Callithrix jacchus: one gene and its partner. The protein of the gene in region 1 purifies or fractionates together with the protein of each later gene. This does not show direct contact. Links are inferred from orthologs where the notes say so. Each region holds a gene or a part of one and is shown on either strand. Other genes may lie near its edges. The genes, in order: SLC39A7 and FAM174A.

Region 1 (12,933 bases):
AGGGCCCTACGCTTATGTCCATCAGTTTGGGGGGCCTGCCCACCAATATCCATCTCTTGGGGAGTTCCCCATTTCCATTCTTCAGATGGAAAGGAAAATGAGGCAAGATGAGAGGGAAGCAAGGTCCCAGGGGCAGGGCCAGTGCTTTGTGCTGGGAGAAGGACAGAGGGTGAGAAACTACCCCAAATCATGGGAGACCCCGACAAATTCAGAGACTCAAGGCCACTGAAGGGAGACAACCAGTCCTCACAGGGATCTGGGGTCCCTTCCAACTTGGGATATCAAGCAGATCCCTTGGAGGGCTTATGTTCTTGGTTCTGCCCTGTACTTCTCACCCCATCAAGCTTCTGGGAACATGGCCCCCCCCCACCCTGCCCCAAGCTTGGAGTCCCTCTTGGATGTGTGCTCCTCCAATGTGAGAAGCACCATGTCTGGGTCTGAGCTCAGGCCAGTTGATGGGGAGCCTCAAGCATCTCCATAAGAAAAGTGTCGATGGGGGTGTCACCAATGAGCTTGAAGAAAAACAGATGCTCTAGACACTTAAGGCCGATGGACCGGAGGGCAGGAAGACGTAGCAGCAGCTTGGCAAACCTGGGGTGGAGGTGGAAGAAGGGGAGTGAGAGCTGGAAGCACACGGACTCTGAACACATCCTCGTGGCACTCCCCACCTGTGAGGGAGCCTCAGTCCCCCCAGCCCCATCTCACCGTCCCTGCTGCTCAGGGTACTTCTGTTTGCAGTAGGTCTCCAGTGATGCATACACTTTCTCCCGCAGGACCTCCACCTCACTAGGGTTGGAGAGGCCCTTGGCATCTAGGATGGCACGGAAGAGAGGAGGAAGAGAAATGAACACAAATCAAATCAGTACAGCTGCGTAGATGTGAGCCACACGATGTCCCTTTTGGTCCGCACTTGCTTGCCCTTTACCAGAGGCCTGGCAAGGGAAGCAGGGCCTACTGGGTTTGTGGGACGCATCCACGGATGTGGGTTTTTCCTTGGCCAGTTGGGAGATTTCCAGGTTGAGGGTCTTACTGAGGGGGATAGCTGGGTAACTTAGGAGTCTCGGAGAAGAGGAGGCTCCAAGGGTGCCTTGGCCTTGAGAAACAAAGGTAATCCTCCTCTTACCTGGATTAAACAGAATGATTGCCCTCAGGCAGCCAAGCTCTGTCTTGTCCATCCTCATGTCACGCATTTTGGACACTAGCTCTGTCAGCACCCTGGAGAGGGACCTGCAGGTCACTCAAAGGTCACAGCTCAGCCAGCCTTGGACACGGACCAGCCTATAGCCCCACCCCCTTTATCTACATGCCAGCCTAGCCGAGGGCCACTGACCGATCAAAGATGGCTCCTACTCCTGCTGAATGGGCTGAGTTTCGGTGCACATGAAGACCTGTGGCAAGGAGGATGCCATCTCGAACATCAATGGATCGGTGGGAGAAGGAAGCAATGAGGAGTTCGTTCCAGCCTGGGTGGGGCAGCAAGGGTCAGGAGCCAGAAATCAGGCCAAGAGATTCAAAGCACATCAGTAGAAGAGAAGGAGAAAAGATATGGCGAGGTCAGCAAGTTTGGCTCCCTTAGGACACAAGGTAAGGCCACTGGGGTCACTAAAGGTTGGAAAGTCAAAGGGGTCAAATGTCAAGAGGTCAAAGGGATCCAAGGTCACTGACCTGCCCGCAGCAATATGACCTGATCATCCAGAGGCAAGGAGGAAAAGTGTGGGATCCTCTTCGCCCACTCAACAAGCGTGAATAGCTGTTTGTCAGCTGCCTGACAGATGTTAGTCACGGGGTCATTTGGCTGCAGGGGACGGGGGTAAGAGTTACGGAAGATTTTGAGATATGCTGGGAACCCCCTAGTAAGAGGCTCCTTACATACAGTCTTCCTGTGAGCCCCATCCAAACCAATCCCTGTAAGTCAGGCTTCTCTTCTGGTATTTGTTTAAGCAATTATTTATTTGGGAAGTGCCTGTGGTTCTGCCAGTGGGTGTTTTGGGGAGTAGAGACAGAAGGAGCTATCATATCCACCTCAGATATTTGAAAGACCTTGTTTGGCAGCACTTCTGGTCCCAAGCAGTGTTAGGAAGGTTATGAGGGGAAAGGATGAGAAGGGATATAGAACAGACCTAGACTACCTCCCCCTACCCCCATCATGAAGGAGAGTGAATTGACCCCAACACTCACGCTGCTGCCGCTACCACCGGTTCCCCCAGGACCCTCAACGCCCTGGTCACTCTTCTGCTCCACAGCAAGCTCTGCCTCCAGGATCCTGTCCACAGGCATCTCCTCAGGGGCTCCCCCAGCCCCCTCCCCATCCCCATCCTTGTCCTTTCCCCGCTGACGCTCCTCCTGTACCGCTGCAGGGGAAAGAGGGAGAGAAAAAAACAGAGAGTCAGCAGCCAGCCATTAAGGGTTTCCACAAGTATCCTTAGGGCCTCATCAGGATCTCATGGCCCTTGGGAAATATTTATGGAAATTGGAGAAGTCACTAGAAAGGGTGGACTGGGAGCAGCCCTGAAGCAAGGGTTATAAAAGGGCAGATAAGTCAGTCAGGAAGGGTGAGGAGGGTAAAAGAATCAGGGAGGAATTTAAATGGAGAGCCTACTACATGGTTAAAAAATATGCCAAGATTCAACCTGAAAAAGCTGATTGAAAAAAAATTTTTAATAAAAAAACATGGAAAGAAACATGCTAAGCACGTTTTAACATTCACTCTATTATCATAATTATGCTGGAAGCATTTATTCTCATTTTTAAAGATGAGGAACTTGGGATTCAAAAAGGTTAAACAGCTCACTTAAATTCATATAGTAATGGCAGGTCATACAATTGGATCTAAGTGTGTCTGAATGCAAATCTGTACTCTCCTGACTCTGCAAATAGGCAGTGAAAGGAGTACTGGCCTAGGTCTTCACGGATGTGAGTTCTGATCCCAGAACTGCCTGCCACTCCTTTGTTGCATGACTTTGGAAAAGCCAGGCCTCAGGCTCATCTTCTCTAAAGTGGGATTTTGACCAAGATACGTTCTCAAGTGTCTGTCTCAGACTTCTACGAATTGGACTTAAGAAGATAAGATGGAGACACAGAATAAGGAAGGAAATCCCTGAGCTTAAGAGTGTCGAGTCCCAGGAGTTAGAGGAAAGATCACAGATAACAGGAGACAGAGACCAGAGAGGGTCCATGGAATCAGAGAGGAGGAACCACTCAGGTTAGAAAAGGGGAGACAGAAAGCCCATCACGGGTAAGGAAAGGTTATCCTAAGACCAGTCTAGGGAGGGGTCATAGGTGTAGACCACAAAGGCCTAACCAGTAAGAAGGAAACTCAAGGGCCAGAGCAGGGTAACAGGGAGAAAAGCTTCGAAGGGAGAAAGAAATCAAATATCGCCCTCTAGAGGATATTTGATTTGAGAAATCAAATATCACCCTTTAGCCTTCCAGAGAGGTAGAGTCTTGAGCGGGGTAGGGGAGAAGGGGCATGTGGTCTAAGAAGCCTGGGCAGGGCAGGTCCTTACCCTCCCTCTTCATGCCAGTGGCCAGGCACTTCTGGTAGCGGCAGTACTGACAGCGGTTCCGCTGGCGCTTGTCTACTGTGCAGTCTTTGTTGTCCCGGCAAGAGTACGTAAGGTCCTTTCGGATGGTGCGTTTGAAGAAGCCCTTGCAACCCTCACAGCTGTAAACCCCGTAGTGTTTGCCTACAGGGAAAAGGGAAGAGCAATAAGATTGCGTGGAGACACCTTCACCATTTAGTCTCTTCCTAATCTCCCCCTGGCAAAACTTAAAGTCCTCTCTACATTTGCCAAATACAGAGATAGGGTACCAGGAGGTGAGTGATGATCCAGTCCCAGTCCCCTCACTGTTCAGAATCCCTACGTTTGCACTCCCTTTTCCCTCTGACCTTCCCCCTAATCGCATCCCACATCTCATCTTCAGCTTCTTTACTCTTATCAGGCCTCCCCCAGGTCACTTGCTCTGACCAAACCCCATAAGCCCTGGGAATCCCACAAGTGGTGATACATGGCCCAGACTCTCCCTCTCTCTTCATCCTCTGAGCCCCATACCTGAGCTTCTGTCCCCGCAGATTGCACATAGCCGTTTGCCAGCCCCCGGGCCACCTGGAGGGGGTGGACAGTGCAGGCCCCGGACCCCTAAGACTGGTGGCTTCACATCTTCAGGGGGGCCAGACCCACCCCCAGGGAGCGACACTGTTGAGTTAATCTGGGATGAGGGAAATAGGGAAGTCACAGGAAGACTCATTGGGAAGGAGAATCTCATAGAAGTGATGGAAATCATTCCCTACTACTAAGCAAAGTCCCACAATGCACATTCCAGAGGGCATCATTTACACTGTAGTCTACATGAGGGGCCATCCCTGGAGCACAATCCCAAAGAGAATAAACAGAACCCCCCTGAAATTGTGCTGTTCCACAGTGACCCTGAAGGGCAGGTGTCTTGGGAAAGCAGATGGGACCAAACGGGCAGAAAATCACTGATAGATGAAAAGGACATGAAGAATATCAGAATTAGCTGGGCATGGTGGTAGACACCTGGAATCCCAGCTACTCAGGAGGCTGAGGCAGGAGAATCACTTGAACCCAGGAAGCAGAGGTTGCAGTGAGCCGAGACTGAGCCACTGCACCCCAGCCTGGGCAACAGAGCAAGACTCCATCTCAAAAAAAAAAAAAAAACCACACACAAAAACCAAGGAATATTAAGATTTCTTTTAGTGGAGGAAGCATGCATTGAAAGTTCAGTCACCTCAGGAAAGGCAAGGGGTCTCAACAAAGACCACAGGCCTGCCAAGATTAGAGGATTAGAAGGTCAATGAGCCATGGGGAAGTTCACGCAAGGATTTGGGGTTACAAGGAAAACAAGGAAATGAAAGTGGCCAGGCAGTAAGTCGGTCACAACCTCTCACCTGGGGGCTGCTGACAGGCCCGGAGAATCCTGGGGGAGCTGGAGGGGGCAGACCAGGGGACCCCATGGAAGAACTGATAACTGGAAAGGGAGAGCCCAGTGGGGGTGGTGGCATCGGGGGTGGGGGTGGGGCCCCAGAGCCTCCAAGGGATGGAGCTGTTGAAGGGGGTAGGGGTGGCCCAGGAGGAGAAGGGGGAGGGACTCCCTGGGGAAGGGGATTTGGGGAGGAGCTGTCTGGGCTTCGGGAGTCTGAGAGAGGGGTATGTACAGGCACACAGACACACAGAGACAGGAGAGACAAAAAAAGAAAATGAGTCTTCAAACATCCAAGTAGAGACTTTAATTCTCTAGTACCCCACCGTGCCTGGACCCAGCCCACTCCATCCATCCCTAAGTCCAGAGACATCCTGCTGTCAAAAAACAGTATAACTCCAGCTGGTCCGATGAGTGCGTTATCAGAACTAACATTAGCGTCACTAAAATTGGTATACAACCTCCCACTGCTATATTTGACTGGCTGAAAAAACAAAAAAACAAGGTACTCCTCATTGTGGTGAGAGGAGGGAGTTGACAAGGAGAGGAGGATAGCTCAGTTGAGAAACATCTTCCAAGCAATCCATTTGAATGAATACCAGGTCATCCCCAAGCCACACCTGTCTCGTGGGTGGGGCAGCACGTGGGGTACCCATCCAGCCCCTCTATTCCCAGCGTAAAGCTGGGTAGCCGGGGCGTACAGGGGAAAGAGGTGGGAGAGACCCCTCCTATAACGCAGAATCTGCCTTCAAACGTCCAAAGTCCTGAAGCTTAAGAGGAATCGTGCCCTTCCCACGCCCGCGACCTCCAGTGCCCCAGGCCTCAAGCGGTCAAGGCTAGGAGATCTGAAGCTCCCCTTCCCCGCCCCGCCCTGGGGGGAGGAGGGCGCTAAGGCCCTCGGGAGGGAAGGGACGCGTGTTTACAAACAAGGGGGCGGGAGCGCCAGGAAAAGAGCACTGGGGAGGGTGTGGGGGAGGGGGTTGCAGATAACGCGGTCACTGGCTTGCCTGCCCTTCCGCAGGGACACTCACCCCGCCCGCTGTCGCCCATCCCGTCCCGTCCGGCCTCCCCCGGCTCCGGTTCCGGGGTTTGTTGTTCTCCGCCTGCCGCCGCCGCCGCCGCCGCTGCGGGATCCAGCCAGGGCCGTCGCCGCCGCCACCGGGACGCGACCCCACAATGCATTTCTTTTCGCACCCCCACCGGCCCACACTGCCCTGCGGCATGCCGCTGAGGGAGGAAGGGCGGGCGAGCGGCCCAAGACATGATCCCTGGCTGAGAGTAGGGATATCGAAGAGGTGCCAGAGATTCCCAAGAGTTGATCGGAAGATTAGCTGAGCACGAGGAAGCACCTGAGAAAACGACTCTGGCCTGGATTGGGTGGAATTAAGCTTGTCGTTCTGCTCTGTACCAAAATGACAGCGCCAATGTGGCAGCCATCTTTGTACAGACGGGAAGTGTCGGCGCAAGTTCCCGCCCCCTCGTCTAGTTGGAAACCGAGGAGGCGGTCTCCTCCAGCCTGTTAGCCCGCCTTGCCCACCTTCCCCTCAAATAACCTCCAGGCTCGCGCATGCGCGTCAGCTCAGGGTGGCTTCGTCGCTACCGGAGTGCCGCCATATTGGTAAAGGCATTAGGGCGAAGGTGGAACGGAACTTCCTGTTCTCGCGGGAGCTAAAGGCGGGACTGCCACGTCCAAGCAAACGGGGAAAGGAGAGGATCCCGGAGCCGGTGAGAATTCTGTTTTTCCATTCTATCCCTTCCAGGCCATTCCCTCACCTAATGAGCCATAGAGACGAGGGCCCAGAGAGTCCGTAAAGTGGCTGGTCAAAGACTAGTGTCCCAGAGCCCTGCATCCGCGAGGGGGTTCGGCATAAAGAGAACTAGTCTTGGGAACTATGTAGGTGGAAACTTAAGGGAATGGGAGAGCGGCCCATAGAGGTGGACGGAGAGCGCGACTGGAGTAAAGAGGACCCTGTGTAGGTATAGAGTTAGTTGAGAGTCAAGTGGAGTCACTGTCTCTGTCCCTCTGGTCAGCGTGATGGCCAAAGGTCTGGGGGCCCCCCGCTGGGTGGCCGTGGGACTGCTGACCTGGGCAGCCTTGGGGCTTCTGGTGGCTGGACACGGGGGTTATGACGACCTGCACGACGATCTGCAAGAAGACTTCCATGGCCACAGCCACAGGCACTCACATGAAGATTTCCACCATGGACACAACCATGCCCACGGCCATGGCCACACTCACGAGAGCATCTGGCATGGACATACCCACGGTCACGACCATGGACATTCACATGAGGATTTACACCATGGCCATAGCCATGGCCACTCCCATGAGAACCTCTACCACAGAGGACATGGACATGACCATGACCATAGCCATGGAGGCTATGGGGAGTCTGGGGCTCTGGGCATCAAGCAGGACCTGGATGCTGTCACTCTCTGGGCTTATGTGAGTTTCCAGGGGATGGGAGAGAGAGGGGCTGGTTCTGGATTGTCGGGAAACTCCACAGTACTTGACCCTGATTCTCCCTCACCAGGCACTGGGGGCCACAGTGCTGATCTCAGCAGCTCCATTTTTTGTCCTCTTCCTTATCCCTGTGGAGTCAAACTCTCCCCGGCATCGCTCTCTACTTCAGATCTTGCTCAGTTTTGCTTCTGGTGGGCTCCTGGGAGACGCCTTCCTGCACCTCATTCCTCATGCTCTTGGTAAGTAACCTCTGACTTCTACCTCAAATCTAACGTATTTTGTTCTTTTAAGGGTTCTTTCTCCTTTCTGATTCCTGATCTTCCGATATTCCCCCAAATACACACCCTTTGGGTTAGATATTCCCTCATTTGGCTTCCCCCCCTTCTTCCAGAACCTCATTCTCACCACACTCTGGAGCAACCTGGACATGGACACTCCCACAGTGGTGAGGAAGAGACAGATGGGGACAGGAGTTGGGGTGCTGGGGAAGGTCCGTCTCTCCCTATTCCTCACCTCCTGCACTTAAGGAGGAGAAGTCTGGAATGCACATCTCCCTTAATGTCTCAATGCCTCTATTCCCAGGCCAGGGCCCCATTCTATCTGTGGGACTGTGGGTTCTCAGTGGAATTGTTGCCTTTCTGGTCGTGGAGAAATTCGTGAGACATGTGAAAGGAGGACATGGACACAGTCATGGACATGGACATGCTCATAGTCACACACGTGGAAGTCATGGACATGGAAGACAGGGTGAGCCCAGGAACAACTTTCCAAAAGCTGACTTGCCTGCCTCAGAATCGCCTCATCTTATGGCCCTCAGGAGGGAGAGGACATATTGGAAGATCTGTTCTCCACTCTGACCAACTCCTTTCTTCCCTCAGAGCGTTCTACCAAGGAGAAGCAGAGCTCAGAGGAAGAAGAAAAGGAAACGGGGGGTGTCCAGAAGAGGCGAGGAGGAAGCACAGTACCCAAAGATGGGCCAGTGAGACCTCAGAAGCCTGAAGAAGAAAAAAGAGGCTTAGGTAAGGGCCAGAGTTGGTGATAAATTTGGGCAAGGGACATCCTCACGAATCACATGGAATATGTGCTATGGGTAATGGAAGGTGTCTGGGAAACACTAAGGGACTGGGTGTGAAGTGGTCTCTGAGGGGAGATGTGAGGATAGCTGACCAAGACTGGAACAACTGGTGATGGAGGCCTCTGATCATTTTCTCTTCTTTTCCTGTACAAGACCTGCGTGTGTCAGGATACCTGAATCTGGCTGCTGACTTGGCACACAACTTCACTGATGGTCTGGCCATTGGGGCTTCCTTTCGAGGGGGTCGGGGACTAGGGATCCTGACCACAATGACTGTCCTGCTACATGAAGTGCCCCATGAGGTTGGAGACTTTGCCATCTTGGTCCAGTCTGGCTGCAGCAAAAAGCAGGTTGGTGATGTCTGCCGAACACTGCTGCCTCAAACCCTTTGTTTCTGCTCACTCACCTTAAACCCAAAACAGCCTCTTATTAGTTCCAAACAATTCATGCTATCATTGACAAGTCCCCTAGAAATGAGTGGGAAGAAGTTCTGGTTTCTTTTCTTTAGCTCAGTATTTCTTAAACTATGGTCTATAAACAATCTGAATGGTTTAGTGGAGTCTTACACACACACACCTACTCAATCAGAAAGTCTGTGGAAAGGATCTCTGATCTCTAAGATTTTTTTCAGAAATTGTCTATTCTAGACCCTCCCCCTTTTTACTTTGATGTTTAGTTTCCAAATCCATGTCCCTTACACCTATATCCCACCAGCTACTTCTAAACCCACTGATAATCTTTAGCTGTTGGTGAGTGTCTCTTTCTCTTTTCTGCCCATCAGGCAATGCGTCTGCAACTACTGACAGCAGTAGGGGCACTGGCAGGCACTGCCTGTGCCCTTCTCGCTGAAGGAGGAACAGTGGGCAGTGAAGTTGCAGGTGGTGCAGGTCCTGGCTGGGTCCTGCCATTTACTGCGGGTGGCTTTATCTACGTGGCAACAGTGTCTGTGTTGCCAGAGCTGCTGAGGGAGGCATCACCATTGCAGTCATTTCTGGAGGTGCTGGGGCTGCTGGGGGGAGTTGTCATGATGGTGCTGATTGCCCACCTCGAGTGAGGGGTGGGATAAACTACCTTGCCCCAAACCTCTACCCCTCACTCTAGGTCAGGGGTGTGTGGAGGCTGGGGGCCCTGGCCAGGGACATCTACCAAAGGAAGGAACCGTAGCCTGAGAAAATGGTTACTTTGTCATTAGGGCCTTCAAGGGCTGGCAGTCTTACAGAGGCGGTAGAGGTGAGAATGAGAGGCCAGAGGGAACATAGTGTTGAGCACCACCTGACCATGTTGTTGCATTTGGAGGTCTAAATGGGGCCATGAAGAAGGCTGGGAGAGGGGATGATGGCAGCCTACTTGGTGTCCCCTACCCCACCTGTTAGAAAACCAAGTTGCTACACAGAAAGTTCTGCAAAGTCCACTTCCCTTTCTCCCACCACTTGGTAGAGGCTTCAGGAAAGACCAGAGTCCTGGACAGAGAGGGTAACAGGAGTAGTCGGGGATAAACATAAACATCAATCGTGTGTCCTGATTTGGGAGTGATTTGGGGGACGGGCGGGGGGCGGGGGGGAGGGTTGGTAATATCACGGCCTGATTTTTTTTGTTAGTATTCTTTTTATATCACTGTGTTTGAATAGAGGGGGAGGAGGGGTGGAGACCAGAAATAAAGTCCTCAGATCTTCACCCCACATGGAGTCTTTGTCTTTTTGGGGGGAATGGGGCCCCTTGTCTTCCCCACACTGTCGGCCCCCAAACAGCAGTGTCTGGCCACGCCCCCGCGGTGGGAGGTCGGCCAGCGCTGGCGGCCGCAGATGGCCTAAGGCTGTCGGGGCTTCGATTGGCCCCGGATTTGCGTTCGCCACGCCCCCTCTGCACTAGGATTGGCTTAGTGCTGGGGTTCCCACCCACCCACAGTCCGCCATGGCGTCTCAGCTCCAGCACCGGCTCCGCTCTGCGCTGGCCTTGGTCACAGGTTGAGGGGGTGCTCTCCCGGGAAGGTTTGGGGTGTTGGAGTGATGTCAGGGGCATGCCCTTGGAGTCCACGGCCCCTGTAACCTCTGGCCCCTTATCCACATTTTACTAACTTTTTGCCCTGTGACCTCTGATCCCTGCCCTCTCCTCCCCCTGCCCGGTCCCTGCGTGTTCTGTCCTACCTCAGGTGCGGGGAGCGGCATCGGCCGGGCGGTCAGTGTGCGCCTGGCCGGAGAGGGGGCCACCGTAGCCGCCTGCGACCTGGACGGGGCAGCGGCACAGGAGACAGTGCGGCTGCTGGGCGGGCCAGGGAGCAAGCAGGGGCCGCCCCGAGGGAACCACGCTGCCTTCCAGGCTGACGTGTCTGAGGGCAGTGCCGCCAGACGCCTGCTGGAACAAGTGCAGGTGAACGCCAGGCCACGTTCTCTCTTTAAAGCTCTAATATTGCCGCCACTGCCCCGGCTCTTTGTGGGTTTTTTTTGATGCATAACCTCCCCCTCCCATAGGCCTGCTTTTCTCGCCCACCATCTGTCGTTGTGTCCTGTGCGGGCATCACCCGGGATGAGCTTCTGCTGCACATGTCTGAGGATGACTGGGACAAAGTCATAGCTGTCAATCTCAAGGTGGTGATCTCTGAACCTGCGACTTTTGGCCACCTTAGTCTGGGGGGTGAGTCGGAGGAGGGCTGTCATCCCAGCTGATCTTTTCTCCCTTGTTACCCTTTCCCGCCAGGGCACCTTCCTAGTCACTCAGGCTGCAGGCCAAGCCCTGGTGTCCAGTGGTTGCAGTGGTTCCATCATCAACATCAGTAGCATCGTAGGAAAGGTCAGGTTGAGTTGGACGAGGTCAGCCAGCCAAGTGGCATAGAAAGGAGAACCCCTCCTTGAGACTGCTGACTCATTCCACATCTCTGACTCATCTATAGGTGGGGAACATGGGACAGACAAACTATGCAGCATCCAAGGCCGGAGTGATTGGGCTAACCCAGACTGCAGCCCGAGAGCTTGGACGGTTGGTCAGATGGTTGAGGGTCCTGGAGAGCACCTGGGGGGTCTGAGGGAGGGACCAGCATTCCAGTCCTCTCCAGAATCAGCAGCCACTCTCCTTCTCACAGACATGGGATCCGCTGTAACTCTGTCCTCCCAGGGTTCATTGCAACACCCATGACACAGAAAGTGCCACAGAAAGTGATGAATAAGGTAGGAGGCTGTGGCTGGAGGGCAGAATCATTCAGAGACTCAATCTGGGCTTCACAGAGAGAAAGAGAATACTGGGCACAGTTCCTGGCAAACATTAAGTATTCAATAAATATATAAGGAATGAAGACAAAAAAGGGTCACAAACTTAGTCTTCAAAAAAATCTATAAAAGCGGCTTTCACCTGCGTATGAATATTTCCTTACAGATTACTGGAATGATCCCAATGGGACACTTGGGGGACCCTGAGGGTGAGCACCGAATGGAGAGGAGTCCCTGGGAAGGGGGCCTGAATGAAGAGATCCCAAAGTTTTGGGATTTTTTAGGGGATGGGTGGTTGGTATCTGTGATGGGGTTTGTGGTGAGGTGTCTTTGGTGGGAGATTTTGGGTATTTTGAGTGTATGGGAGTGAGCAGGATTCTGCCTTCTCCCCAACATTCTCATAGATGTGGCAGATGTGGTCGCATTCTTGGCATCTGAAGATAGTGGATATATCACAGGGGCCTCAGTGGAAGTCACTGGTATGAGGCCAACCTGGGGAGGGAGAGGGCAGAGTAAGTGGAACCCAGACTATATGAGAAAGCAAGTAAGGGGAGTCTGGAGCCACTGGAAAGGGCAGAGGTTCCCAAGGGCAGGGACAGAAGTGGGCACCCCCCCCAGCCCATTTGTCTCTCCACCCATGCATCTGTCCAAATGTTTCTGCCCCTCCCAGGAGGTCTTTTCATGTAACTGCCTCAAGGTCCCTGGACTCTGCTCACCCCCCACCACTCTGCCCGGCCTCCTGCTGATGAGGACTCTAAGTTCCCAGGCTACAAAAGGGGTGGCAGTGTATGGCTCAGGAATGCTGAATATGGGAAGCAGGGGTGCTGGTGACCCTAATAAATTTCAAATCCTCTTCCCTGCCACCTCCGGTTCTTCTTGTGTCCAAGCCCTCAGACCCTTCCCCACCTCCCCCTCCTTTCCCTTTCCCGAAGGATTGTTCCCTTTCACTGCCTGGTCTCCCAGGGCAACCCCCGCCGCCGGGTGTGAGAGGAAAGAGTATGTGTCACTGTGTATGCGTGACACTCTGGGTCTTTTTGGAAGGAGGGGTTTCTTCACCCCCTTCCACTGGTTCTACAGCACCAGTTTCCTCCCCCCAGCTGCCTGGGTCCTTTGGTCCCCAAGGGTAATTTGTTCATGGCCCCATCCTGGTGTCCAGTCTGGCCTTGGAAGGGGGTCTTGGAACAGGTGGCCCTCCCCCACCCCTCTCCTTTCTGTGAGTCCCCCCCTCCCCTTTCTCTCCACCTTACAATAGC
Region 2 (12,407 bases), on another chromosome or scaffold:
CCTGAATCTAATTATGAGGAAACATCAGAACATCAGATAAACACAAAAGGAGAGGTATGAATTCTTCTGTATATATATTATGACAGAAGAAAGACCACTTAAGAGAATAGGATAAAATGCTAAGAACTAATAAATCTGAAAAACAAGCATATAATATTTTGTACTGTTTTTATTCTTGTAAACTTTCTGTAAGTTTAAAATTATTTCTAGACAAAAGATTTTTTTTTAAAAGTAATGCATAAATATATGTTCTTTGAAAAAAAACATCAGATAGGTATAGAAGAAAAACTAAAGATGAAAAATGAATTGTTAACCTCTCTAACTCATCTTTTCACAAACAAACTTCACAAAGTGAGAATTTTTTTTTGTTTGGTTTTGTTCTGCTCTCGAATGTATCTCAAATACCTAGACCAGTGCTTGGCAAATAAATAACTGCTACATCATTCATTTGTTGGATAAATGAATGAAAAGGTAAATAGAAATACACTGTTCCTGTCAGTTTATTTAGATATATATTAAAGTTTTTTCTTATTAAGTAAATTGGGTCAGATTATTAAAAAACTCAAGATGATTTTATTCTTATCCCTGAAACATGCTTTACGATTATTATAACCAATTCTCATTCTTTCACTCTCAAACAGGACACCTATATCTTGGTTAAGATGGTAATTAAGGAAGGTAATTTAATACCTTCCAAAACCGCTTAAATAATTGATTCCGCTCTGCCTTTCCTGCTGTTACTGTAATGCAAGTCATCTTATGCATCCGTACCATCTAACTACTTTTATTCCTTGTCACCTTACTCTTTATCTTGGTCTCCTTCAACCCATGCAAGTCAGAGTAATCTTCAAAACACAACTTTGTAATCAAAGTTTCCCTTGTGTTACAATTTTCAAAATGACTTTTTGTAATCTATAGAATTGGTGATTAGCGTAGATTACAACTGTTTCATGAGCTTTTTATTTTTCCGTCTTTACTGAGGTACAATTGTCAAATAAAAATTGGGTATGCTTAAAGTGTTTACCTTGATTTTATGATATACATATACTGTATGAAAGAATTACTGCAATCACACTAATCAATATATCCATTACCTCATGTGATTACCATATTTTTGTGTGTAGCAAGAACACTTAACACCTACTTTCCTAGAAAACTTAAAAATATACAATAGCGTAATGTATTGTAAACTATATATATTCACATTGTTGTCCATTAAGAAGTTATTCATCTTGCATAACTTACTCATCTCACATAAATGAATTTACTCATTTTGCATGACTAAAACTTTGGACCCCCCTGACTTACCATCTTCATATTTTCCCTTCTCTGTAGCCCCTAGCAACCCCTATTTCTATTCATTACTATAAGCTTGACTATTTAGATACCACATATAAATGAGATAATGCAATATCTGTCTTTCTATGTATGGATTGTTTCACAAAGCATTAATTCCTCCAGGTTCATCCATGTTGTTGCAAATGTCCAGATTTTCTTTTCTTTTTTTTTTTGCTGAATAATATTCAATAGTGTATTATACATATAATTATATATATTATACATACATATACATCTCATACTTTTCAAATTTATTTATTTGTGATATGGTTTGGCTGTGTCCCCCTCTAAATCTCATCTTGAATTGTAGCTCCCATAATCCTCAAGTATCATGGGAAGAACCTGGTGGGAGGTAACTAAAACATGGGGGCGAGTTTTTCCCATGCTGTTCTTACAATGTTGAATAAGTCTCATGAGATCTGTTTCATAAAGGGCAGTTCCCCTGCACATGCTGTCTTGTCTGCTGTCATGTAAGACATGCCTTTGCTCCTTCTTTGCCTCCGCCATGATTGTGAGGCCTCCCCAGCCATGCAGAACTGTGAGTCCATTAAACCTCTTTTTCTTTATAAATTCTTCATTCTTGAATATTTCTTCAAAGCAGTATGAAAATGGACAAATACATCTGTCAATGCACATTTAGGTTATTTCCACAACTTGGTTAATGTGAATAATGCTGCAGTGAACATGGGTGTGCAGATCTCTCTATGCAATACTGATTTCCTTTGGATAGATATCTAGCAGTAAAACTGCTAAATAATAATTTATTGAGGAATTTCTATACTGTTTTCCCTAATAGCTGTGCCAACTTACATTCCCAAAAAGAGGTCATGTGCCCATTTTAAAATCAGATTATTTGAGATTTTTGGCTACTAAGTTAAATGCATTTCTTATAAATTTTAGATGTTAACTCATACACACACACACACACACACACACACACACACATATACATGCAATCCCTTATAAATGTTAGATATTAACAAATGCATATATACACATATATATTTATAATAATATAAATATTTTGTCCCACTTTTTAAGTTTCTTTTCACTCTGATGATCATCTCCTTGGCTGTGCCAAAGCTTTTTAGTTTGATGTAACCCCATTTGTCTCTGTGGGTAGCACTGTCAAATGCTTTTTCTGTGTCTACTGATAAGATCTTGTAGTTTTTTCTTTCAACCTATTACTGTGTTCTATCTCATTTATTTGCATGTGTTGAAAGATCTTTGCATTCCAGGGACAAATCCCACTTAGTCATGGTGTATCATAATTTTAATATACTGCTGAAGTTAGGTAACTAGCATTTACTGAGGATTTTTGTATCTCTGCTCATCAGAAATATTGGCCTGCAGTTTGCTTGCCTTATGGCATCTTTGTCTGGCTTAGGGAAATACTAGCCTCATAAAATGACTTTTAAAGTGTTTCTTCTTCTATTTTTCAGAATAATTTGAGAAGGACTGGTATTAATTCTTCTATAAATGTTTGGTATAATTTACCCATGAAGTCATATGGTCCTGAAAATTTCTTTGTTGGAATGTTTTTGACTAATGACTCAATGTCCTTATTTGTTACTGGTGTGTTTGAACTTTGAATTTCTTCTTGACTCAGGTTTCATAGATTGTACGTTTCTAGGAATTTATCCATTTTTCTAGGTTCTCAAATTTGTTGGCATATAATTGTTCATAATAGTCTCATGCCATTTTTTTTTTAATTTCTGAGAAATCCATTGTAATTTCTTCTCTTTTATTTCTGATTTTATTTATTTGAGCCTTTTCTTTTTTTCTTAGTTCTAGCTAAAGGTTTATTGATTTTATTTATCTTTTCTAAAAACAAAATCTTAATTTCACTTATTTTTCTCATTGGTTTTCTCAACTCCATTTAATGTATTTCTACTATAATCTTAATTGTTTTCCTTGTTTTAGGGTAATTTTTCTTTTGCCACGTTCTTAAAGGGCAAACATTTATCTGAAGTCTTTCTTCTTTCATAACAAAGGCATTTACTGCTATAAACTTCTTTCCTAGCACTGCATTTGCTGCATCCTGTAAGTTTTGTTATGCCACATATTTCTGGTTTCCAAATAGCTTTTAAAATTCCCTTTGATTTCCTATTTGACCGAATGATTGCTCAAGAGTGTGTTGTTCAGTGTATTAGTCCATTCTTTCATTGCTGTAAAGACATAGCTGAGACTGGGCAATTTATAACAAAAAGAGGTTTAATCGGCTCATGGTTCTGCAGACTGTAAAAGCATGGCGCTGACATCTGTTTGGCTTCTGAGGAGGTACCATGGAGCTTTTACTCATGGTACAAGATGAAATGGTATCAGGTACTTCAAAGGGCAAAAACAGGAGCAAGGAGGAGCAGTTACTACACACTTAAAATAACCAGATTTCATGAGAACTCACTATCATGAGGACAGCACCAAGCCATGAGTGATCAGTCTCCATGACCCAAGCATCTCACCAGGCTTCACTTCCAGCATGGAGGGTTACAAGTGACGTGAGATTTGGCCTGGAGTTATATTCAAACTATATTTTTTAGTTTCTACATATTTATACATTTTCCTGTTTTCCTGATGTTATTGATTTCTATTTCTATTCTATGGAGGTTGAAAAAGATACCTGGAATAATTTCAATCATCTTAAAGTTGCTAAGACTTTTTTGTGACCCAGCATGATTTATCCTAGAGTGCATGCCATGAGCATTTGAGAAGAATGTGAATTCTTCCACTGTTGGGTGCAAAGTTGTAAACGTGTCTGTCAGGTCAATTTAGTCTATAGTGTTGTTTAAGTCAGTGGTTTCTTTATTGATTTTCTGTCTAGATATTCTATTCATTATTGTAAGTGGAATATGAAAGTCCCCTAAATTATTTTATGGCTGTCAATTTCTTGCTTCAGATCTGTCAATATCTGCTTTATAATTTAGGTGCTCTGATATAGTCATACTAATTGTCGTATCCTGTTGAATTGACTCTTTTATTATGTAATGATCTTTTTTTGTCTCAAGAGATAGTTTTTGACTTAAAATCTATTTTGTTTGATATAAATTTAGCAACCTCTGCTTTGCTTTGGTTACCATTTGCATGGAATATCCTTTTCTGTCCTTTTTCTTTCATCTTACATGTGTCTTTAAATTGAAAATGAGTTCTTAATGAACAGATACAATTGTTTTATTCATGTTTGCCTATCCAGACAGTAATACTATTAAAATGTATAACTGATGAACATATTTTTATTAAATGAATAAATGACCAGCATTACTAAAAGTTCCTTTGTGTGTGTGTGTGTGTGTGTGTGTGTGTGTGTATAAACAGCTTAGCTATATAGATAGACAGATGTAGATATAGATATACAGGATTTAAGAGTCCAATTTTTGTTGAGTCATCATCCTTTCTGTATTCCCAAGATTTCTGTTTTCTCTGCATTTGTACCTGACTCTGGACTCTAATTCTCCTTCACCCAAGTAATCCCTCTGTATTCCAATATGTCTTTCCTTATTAGGCTGAATCTTTGTTGCCCTTTTTTCCCCATTCTATTTGCATTGGGATTTATTTTATATTCATGTCATTTTATTTATCCAAACCTCTTAGGAAAGTTCTTAACATCTAGCGAGAATAGATCTCAGTATAGATATTATAGCTATATGATCAGACCATAAACATTTAGCCCCCCCAATTCTGCAAGGCAGCACTATTTACACAACACTGGAACCCAAACTAAAAACAAAGTATCTTCAGAATACAAAAAGGAAACTAAATTTACTAAGTATCACACACACAGACACACACACACACAGACACACACACACAAATTAATACAAAATGCAAGAATGACGAAGTTAATGGGTCCTAGGGTTAATACCTGGGTGGTGAAATAATCTGTATGACAAAACCCCATGACAGAACTTTACCTATGTAACAACCCTGCACTTGTACCCCTGAACTTAAAAGTTAAAAAAAAGGAAAATAAACTTTTAAGAATTATTTTGAGATGGTATCTATTTCAGCAAAACAATGTGAATGTGAGCTATGGGGTAGACAGGAAAGATAACTTCATTAAACAGAACTGAAGAAAATCTGTGTTGGAATATAAACTGTTAAATGAAAGTCTGCTTTACTTCTTCAGTTTACTTCACAAGTCTTGCTTCCAGATTCATGGAATTAAACTACTGGAATACTTACCTTCGAGGATGATTGGCATCAAACAATGTGTTATCATCATCCTCATCATCTTGTTCTAAAGGAGTCAATTCCATGTTTTCTATGTTAGTGTCCAAAACTCCGTATCTCCTAGTCTTTCGGTTTCTTCTTCTCATCCTATTAAATGTAACAAATTAATAAAAATTATTTAATATGGTGTAGAGGATCCTTAGTTTATATTTATTTGTAAATTAAAATAAATTTTCATTCTGTTTCTGACATAGAAAGCACTCAATATCAGAATGGTTACATTTCATATATGCAACAAATTTACCATCTGGGATTAAATTTCATGAAACAAAACCTACTCCTACATGTTTATGTGCCATCACCTGTTTCTTCTGTTTGACATACTCTCTTCTCCCTGTGTCAACCAATGGTGTTGACAAATAACTTTTAAGCCTTAGTTCAAGTACCATACTTGAAGCCTCAATTTTTAAAGGCTTAGGTCAGGTACTCCTTTATTGAAACATCCTGTTCCAGCCTTTTCCCCATGTCCTCCATGCTTTCCTACCCCTGTGAAGATGCCCCTCTAAGAAACTGTATGCATATCCATGTTCACAGACTAGACTGATAGCTCACAACTCTAGCCATACACCAGAATTACCTGGGGGTATTTTTTGGAGCCCCATGTTTAGGCTATAACTGAATCAAAAAGCACAGCAAAAAGAATTACATATCAATATTTTGTTGAGATTCTAAATGTGATTCCAATGTGATATAAAACCACTATCTGAGATCAGTGGTCCTTGCAGTGTGTTTCTCTGGATCAGCAGAATAACAGTCACCTAGGAACTTATAAGAAATGCAAATCTTCATGGCTAGCCCAGACTTAGTTAACAACAAACTTTGAAGATGTGGCCCAGAAACCTGTGTTTTAACAAACATTTCTTATGCTTTTGATGCATACTCAAGTTTGAGAACCACTGCCTTAGAGAAACTGAAAAGATTCAAGGGTGCTTAACATTCATTATTATTAGCTGTGTTTATGAAATCTCATGATTTAGAGCCCTACTTCCAGTTGGTGTCTCAAATAACTTATTCTTTTCCTTAATTTTCATTCCTATGTGCCGATGTATATATCTATGTGGTGTTTATTCACCTGTGTCTCCCACTAAGTGCTATATGAGCAGCAACGAAAACTGCTTTATTCACCACTGTATAACCACTTTCTAGTACAGTGATATATCAATTAAGATATTCCTCAATTAATTATTGAAGGTCTGAGTGACTTCTACCATGGCAATCCAAAACCATGACCCTGAAAGGAATGCCTAAATCATCTCCAACGCAATAACTTCAACTCCACACATAGGAAAATGTGTTTCACAAGAGTGTCCATTGGAATTTAAAAATAAAATAGAAAATATTTCAGCAAGTTATCACAAATAAAATTAGTTTGCATAAATCCTGATTTGATCTGCATAACATAGTAAGTGGAATAAGAAATACTTAAGCTATAATATCAACTGTAAAGAGCAACGTGAGCCTGTTCAAACATGACAGTGAAGCCCCTGGGGGGAAAAAGACCTTGAACAAATACTTGAGTCTTCCTAAGCATCAGGTATGGTAGTAGCTTCTGGATATAAACTGCCTGGTCTCAGTGTTAAAATTTATAAAATGTTACTAAAGTGTGAACGAACAGAAACCAAGAAAATTTCTATCAATCATTACCTATAGAGCTATATATATATATACACATACAAAGTGATGGAACAGGAAACAAAGTTAAGCATAGTATTTAAAGTTACAAATGTACCCAATAAAAGAGTCAATAAATATTAGTACTAGCAAAAATGAAGCAGTATGAAGTAAAAAGAACTTGTTCTTTCATGGTGAGAAATTAATGTTTAGGTTGTTACATTAAGTATATGTGTGTGTATGTGTGCACACACACACACCATGTAGACCAGAGGTCTAAACTTCCTCTGTAAAAAAATTAGATAGTATTTGACGATCTGTAGGACACATTCTGCTATGTATTCATTTAAATTTTCATTTTGTTTCCCACCCTTAAAAATCTATAGATAGATGATAGATAGATAGATTGACAGATAGCTAGATAGATAGCTAGACATTCTTAGTTCTTAGGCCTTACAAAAACATCAGCAGAAGGAATTTGGCCTGTGGGCTATACTTTGACAGCCTCTGATTTAGACTCATAAAAATAATTAGCAAACAAACAAAGAAAAAAAAATAAAATTATTGTCTATGGAAAGTAGAACTAGAAAAATAGGCTGGGTATGGTGGCTCATGCCTGTAATCCCAGTACTTTGGAAGGCTGAGGTGGGCAGACCACCTGAGGTCAAGAGTTCGTGACCAGCCTGGCCAACATGGTGAAAACCTGTGTCTGGCAAAAATACAAAAATTAGCCAGGTGTGGTGGTATGTGCCTGCAATCCCAGCTACTTGGGAGGCTGATGTAAGAGAATCGCTTGACCTCGGGAGGCACAGGCTGCAGTAAGTTGAGATGGGGCCATTGCACTCCAGCCTGGAAGACAGAGTGAAGACTCTGCCTCAAAAAAAAAAAAAAAAAAAATAGAAAAATATAGGGAAGTAAGTTCACTATTGTGCTTTTGAACCATATGATTTAATGATACCTGCATGCAATCATTTGATTTTAAAAATGATTACATAAGAGTGAAACTAGTTGGCAACATAAGTTAAGGATATTGAGAATTATAATTTCTCTTTCCTTTTGTCAGCCTTTTGCTCAGTCTTCAAAGCCATATGGGTTCCAAACATTCTGACAATTTTAGTCAATAAAAAAGAAGTTAATGCCATGTGAAATTGTTTTTGGAAATAAACTCGATTCTTCCAGGTCATACATATCAAACAGTCAATATGTTAACCTGTCATTGTTAGTCACAGGACATGTTGGCAAGTCTTAAAAAAAAATGATGAACATAGAGTTTAAAGACTTCAACATTTAGCTCATCTGATGTTCTTCTCTACATCCAAAGTTTTTACCATACCTTCAATGATTTCCAATCTTTCAATGAGTGGTCAAACTAGTTTGCCTAATAATACTATTTTCCCTATCCATGTACAGCCTAAACATTTGACTGTAGTGGTTTGGACCTTTTATTTTATTCTAGCTTATACTGTTCTTTAATTTAATTGTATATGTAAATACTATCTTCTAAAAATGAATCCAAACTATTTAGAAACAAGTTTGGATTGTTGTTTAGAATCTATTCCATATATAAAAATAGAATATTGTTAGGCATCAAGTCAATGGGTGATGCAGTTCAAATTTAAACGAATTTACTGTTTTATTATATGTACTGACTCATCTAAAAATGAGTCAAGAATACTGCATATTATTAAATAAAATTTAAACTTGAAATGTAATTTCTCTTAAAATGTCTTTCCTCAGTCCAAAGATATATGCAGTCATAACTATGTGGTCATATAGCTACATGGCCATATAAAAATATTAAATATAATATAACACACACACCACATTATTATATGGTGTGATTTATCTCAAGGTAGGAAAAAACAATTATAAATCTTTAAAATAATTTGGGTGATTCAACAAACAGTACTGAAAATACTAACAAACACTAAATGTAAAATAAAACATACATTAAAATACGCCAACATTTTAAGTAAAAAGGCGACTTTGTTGGGAGGGATAGCATGGGGAAAAATGCCAGATGTGGGTGAAGGGGAGGAAGGCAGCAAATCACACTGCCATGTGTGTACCTATGCAACTATCTTGCATGTTCTGCACATGTACCCCAAAACCTAAAATGCAATAAAAAAGGGGACTTTGTCTTTTAATATGCATTGTACATTATTTTTTAACAAAAGAAAAAGAGCTTTAATATCTATGCAATTTTAATAGCCACAGTTCTTTTCCTACAAATGAATGTCTTCATTAAGCTTGTGATACCCAAACTTGTCTATATGCGTGCTGACAATTACAAATATATACACACACATGTAGATACAGACATAGATATGCACACTTTTCTACTAGACATAGTAAATGCATTTGGAAATACAAAAACAAATTATGCCAGCTTCTAATGAAAATAAAAATAGGGACTTTATCTACAAGTGTTTACAGAGGAAAGTACAAAAGCCTGAGCAGGCAAAAGAAAATATCTATATGATTACTCATATAAAATTACATTCACTCATCACATGGTATGCTCAGACAAATTATCCCGGTCAGACACTTTCTAGGTATTCAAGTTAATATTCAAATAGCTGCCTTCATATAGATGCAGATTCCTTAATATTCCAATATATTCAGGTTGGTAAAAATGACTTCCCTTCTAATAACATATATATAAGTTAGAGTATCAAAATAAAGCCAAACCACAAAAGTAAGCTTGATAAAATTTTATGTAAAAATACGTGATGACATATAAACAAAACAGAATAAAATTCCATTTCATTTCACTGCTCTATGAAAGGGAGAACACCAATCAATATAAGTTGCTGTAACTTGATATATCTATCTAGTTTGATTTAAATTTGTTGTAACTTGCTATATCTACTTAATTTTATTTTTTCCCTTCTGTTTTTTTTTAACTGAGCATCTGTAGGGTAATATAATTCTTAATTTCTTTTTTAGCACATTTAAAACTAGACTGAGGAATATATTATTTACTATACAGACACATACACTACCCTGTGTGGTTAGACATAACAATGAAACAGAGTAAATAACAATCTATAACTAAAACAAAATTTTTGTTTTAACTAGTTTTAGAAAAAAGTGAACTAGTGACCAAAAATAAATGTGAAATTTCTTTTTTTAACCATTGAAATATAAATGAATAAATATTAGTGAATCACAATTGTAGTTGTCTATACTATTCATCAGGAAATTCAACCCAATTGAATATATGACACATAGTAAAAATTCTTTTGATGAAATTGACATCATTCTCATCTTTATTCCCCATTTCCACCACCCAATCCATCAGTTGTCAGTCCGACTTCTTCAAGAATCAGACACTAATAAGGAATGTGTTTGCGTGTTACAGCTTGAATTATGTCCTCCAAAAATTCATATGTTGAAGTCCTGACCTTATTTAGAAATAGGATGTACTTTGAGGCAATAGACTTTATAGAGGTAATCGAGTTAAAGTGAGATCATGAAGGCAGGCCCTCATCCAAGATATCCTTATAAAAAGGAAAATTTTGGAGATAGACATGCACACAGGCAGAATGCCATGTGAACATGAAGATGTCATCGAAAAGATCAAGAGAGGCCCAGAGGAGATCCTTCCTTTGTAGACCTCAGAAGGAACCAGCCCTGGCAGTACTTTGATTTTGAATTTCTTGCCTCCAAAACTGTGAGACAATAAATTTCTGTTGTTTAAGCCACCTCACTTGTGGTACTTTCTTGCAATGGTTCTAACAAATTAATACAGAATACAAGAGATGTATTAGAGAAGGGCCTGTGGAGGATAAAGAGACAAAAGGGAAGGTGAGGAGATCCCACAAAGGGTGATATAGGTCTGACACCTATGAAAGAGTGGAAAGGAAGGATGACCAGCTAGAACGAGCTGTAGCTTGCAATGCACTTTTGAAAGAATCTTGACCAGGCCAGTGGCATGCCTGTAAGCAAAGGTTGCCCATTAGAGGAGTTCCCTGTTAGTGAGGATGGCCAGGCTCTGCTCTACTCAGTCATTGGCTAGGGTCAAGCTTAGGAGTTACCACCCTGGCACGAATGCTGTGATAGACCCAAATCTGTGACAGCAGAGGATGTCAACCAACTTTACTTCCTGTAGCATGTTCTCTTGAAAAAAGGTCTGATCCGTGTATCTCCATGGCTGCCATAATCACAAGGAACTATTGATTGTACTTCCTAAGAAACATTTAAATTCATTTATATTGCTTCACCATACCACTGCTATCCTATCATGTCTTCCTCTGTTGACTAAAATAGTTTCCTAATTCACTATCTCTACCTACTCTGGTCACTCACTAACATTCCCTTCATACTCTAAAACCTTCAGTGGTTTCCTATTATTCAGCATCAAGTAATGAGTCTGTAATATATGGCCTACAAAGATGATCACAGGATGGTTCATATTTTCATCTTTAGCCTCACCTTGTTCTTCACTCCACATTCCACTCCAGGTTCTCTACTTCAGCCACACAGCCTTCTCTCAGTCCCTCATGATGTCCATGCTTTCTCTGCCATTGGCCTCACACTCTTCTCCCAGCTACCACAATACTGCTATGTGAATGCCTGTTCATCTTTCAGTTGTCAGCTTAAATACACTTCCTCGCAAACCCTTTTCTGTTCTATCTAGCTAGGTCACAGACTTCTACTATTGGCTTCCACTGAACCTACGTACATGTCCTTTAAAGTGCTTATGAAAAGATCATCTGTATACTTATTTAAGTAACTATGTGTCATCCCTACTAGACATTTGGTTTTGTGAGAGCAGGAGCTATATCTATTCTTATTCACCACAGTAGCCACAGCACATAACTTCTGCCATAAAATCGATGACTGATAAATATTGCTAAATAAACTGACTAATATATATATATATATATATATATTCACATATATTCACAATATATCTATTTTCTCTGCATTAAAAAGATGTCTAAAACTGTATATATAAATTATCACCTTGGAATAAAAGAAGCCTGAAAGAATATTTCCAGATACATACCACAACAAAATCTAAGGAAGCTAGTCAAACTTTAAATCCTAATATAGACCTTTGGAGGTCAACAGTTTTCTGACTCAGGACAAAAAAAAAGTACTAGAACATTTAAATATACTAAGCATGTACTCACATCAGGAGTTCTAAGATTTCATTTAGAATGTTTTAGGTCTGGTCATAATCTACCCTAACTACAATAACTAATATTTAGCTTTTATCCTAT

The links.
Region 2: the proteins of SLC39A7 (region 1) and FAM174A purify together in Homo sapiens (co-immunoprecipitation; 3 studies listed by BioGRID and IntAct, with this or other methods). This does not show direct contact. The link is inferred for Callithrix jacchus from reciprocal best matches to the Homo sapiens genes SLC39A7 and FAM174A.

Annotation. Positions count from the first base shown.
Region 1 is NC_133505.1:41,436,976-41,449,908, forward strand, and holds SLC39A7 (zinc transporter SLC39A7), read left to right. Parts: upstream 1-6,611; 5' UTR 6,612-6,666; intron 6,667-6,972; 5' UTR 6,973-6,976; coding exon 6,977-7,387; intron 7,388-7,475; coding exon 7,476-7,644; intron 7,645-7,796; coding exon 7,797-7,850; intron 7,851-7,987; coding exon 7,988-8,152; intron 8,153-8,283; coding exon 8,284-8,424; intron 8,425-8,633; coding exon 8,634-8,830; intron 8,831-9,261; coding exon 9,262-9,534; 3' UTR 9,535-10,159; downstream 10,160-12,933. Other genes in the region: RXRB (retinoic acid receptor RXR-beta), read right to left, coding at 444-591, 706-811, 1,124-1,227, 1,331-1,463, 1,666-1,795, 2,179-2,351, 3,507-3,686, 4,053-4,209 and 2 more; HSD17B8 (estradiol 17-beta-dehydrogenase 8), read left to right, coding at 10,392-10,443, 10,630-10,847, 10,949-11,065, 11,175-11,267, 11,368-11,453, 11,557-11,641, 11,847-11,889, 12,085-12,159 and 1 more. UniProt on the Homo sapiens protein: Transports Zn(2+) from the endoplasmic reticulum (ER)/Golgi apparatus to the cytosol, playing an essential role in the regulation of cytosolic zinc levels.
Region 2 is NC_133503.1:109,909,983-109,922,389, forward strand, and holds part of FAM174A (membrane protein FAM174A), read right to left. Parts: intron 5,653-12,407; coding exon 5,518-5,652; intron 1,929-5,517; coding exon of another isoform or gene 1,913-1,928; exon of another isoform or gene 1-1,912.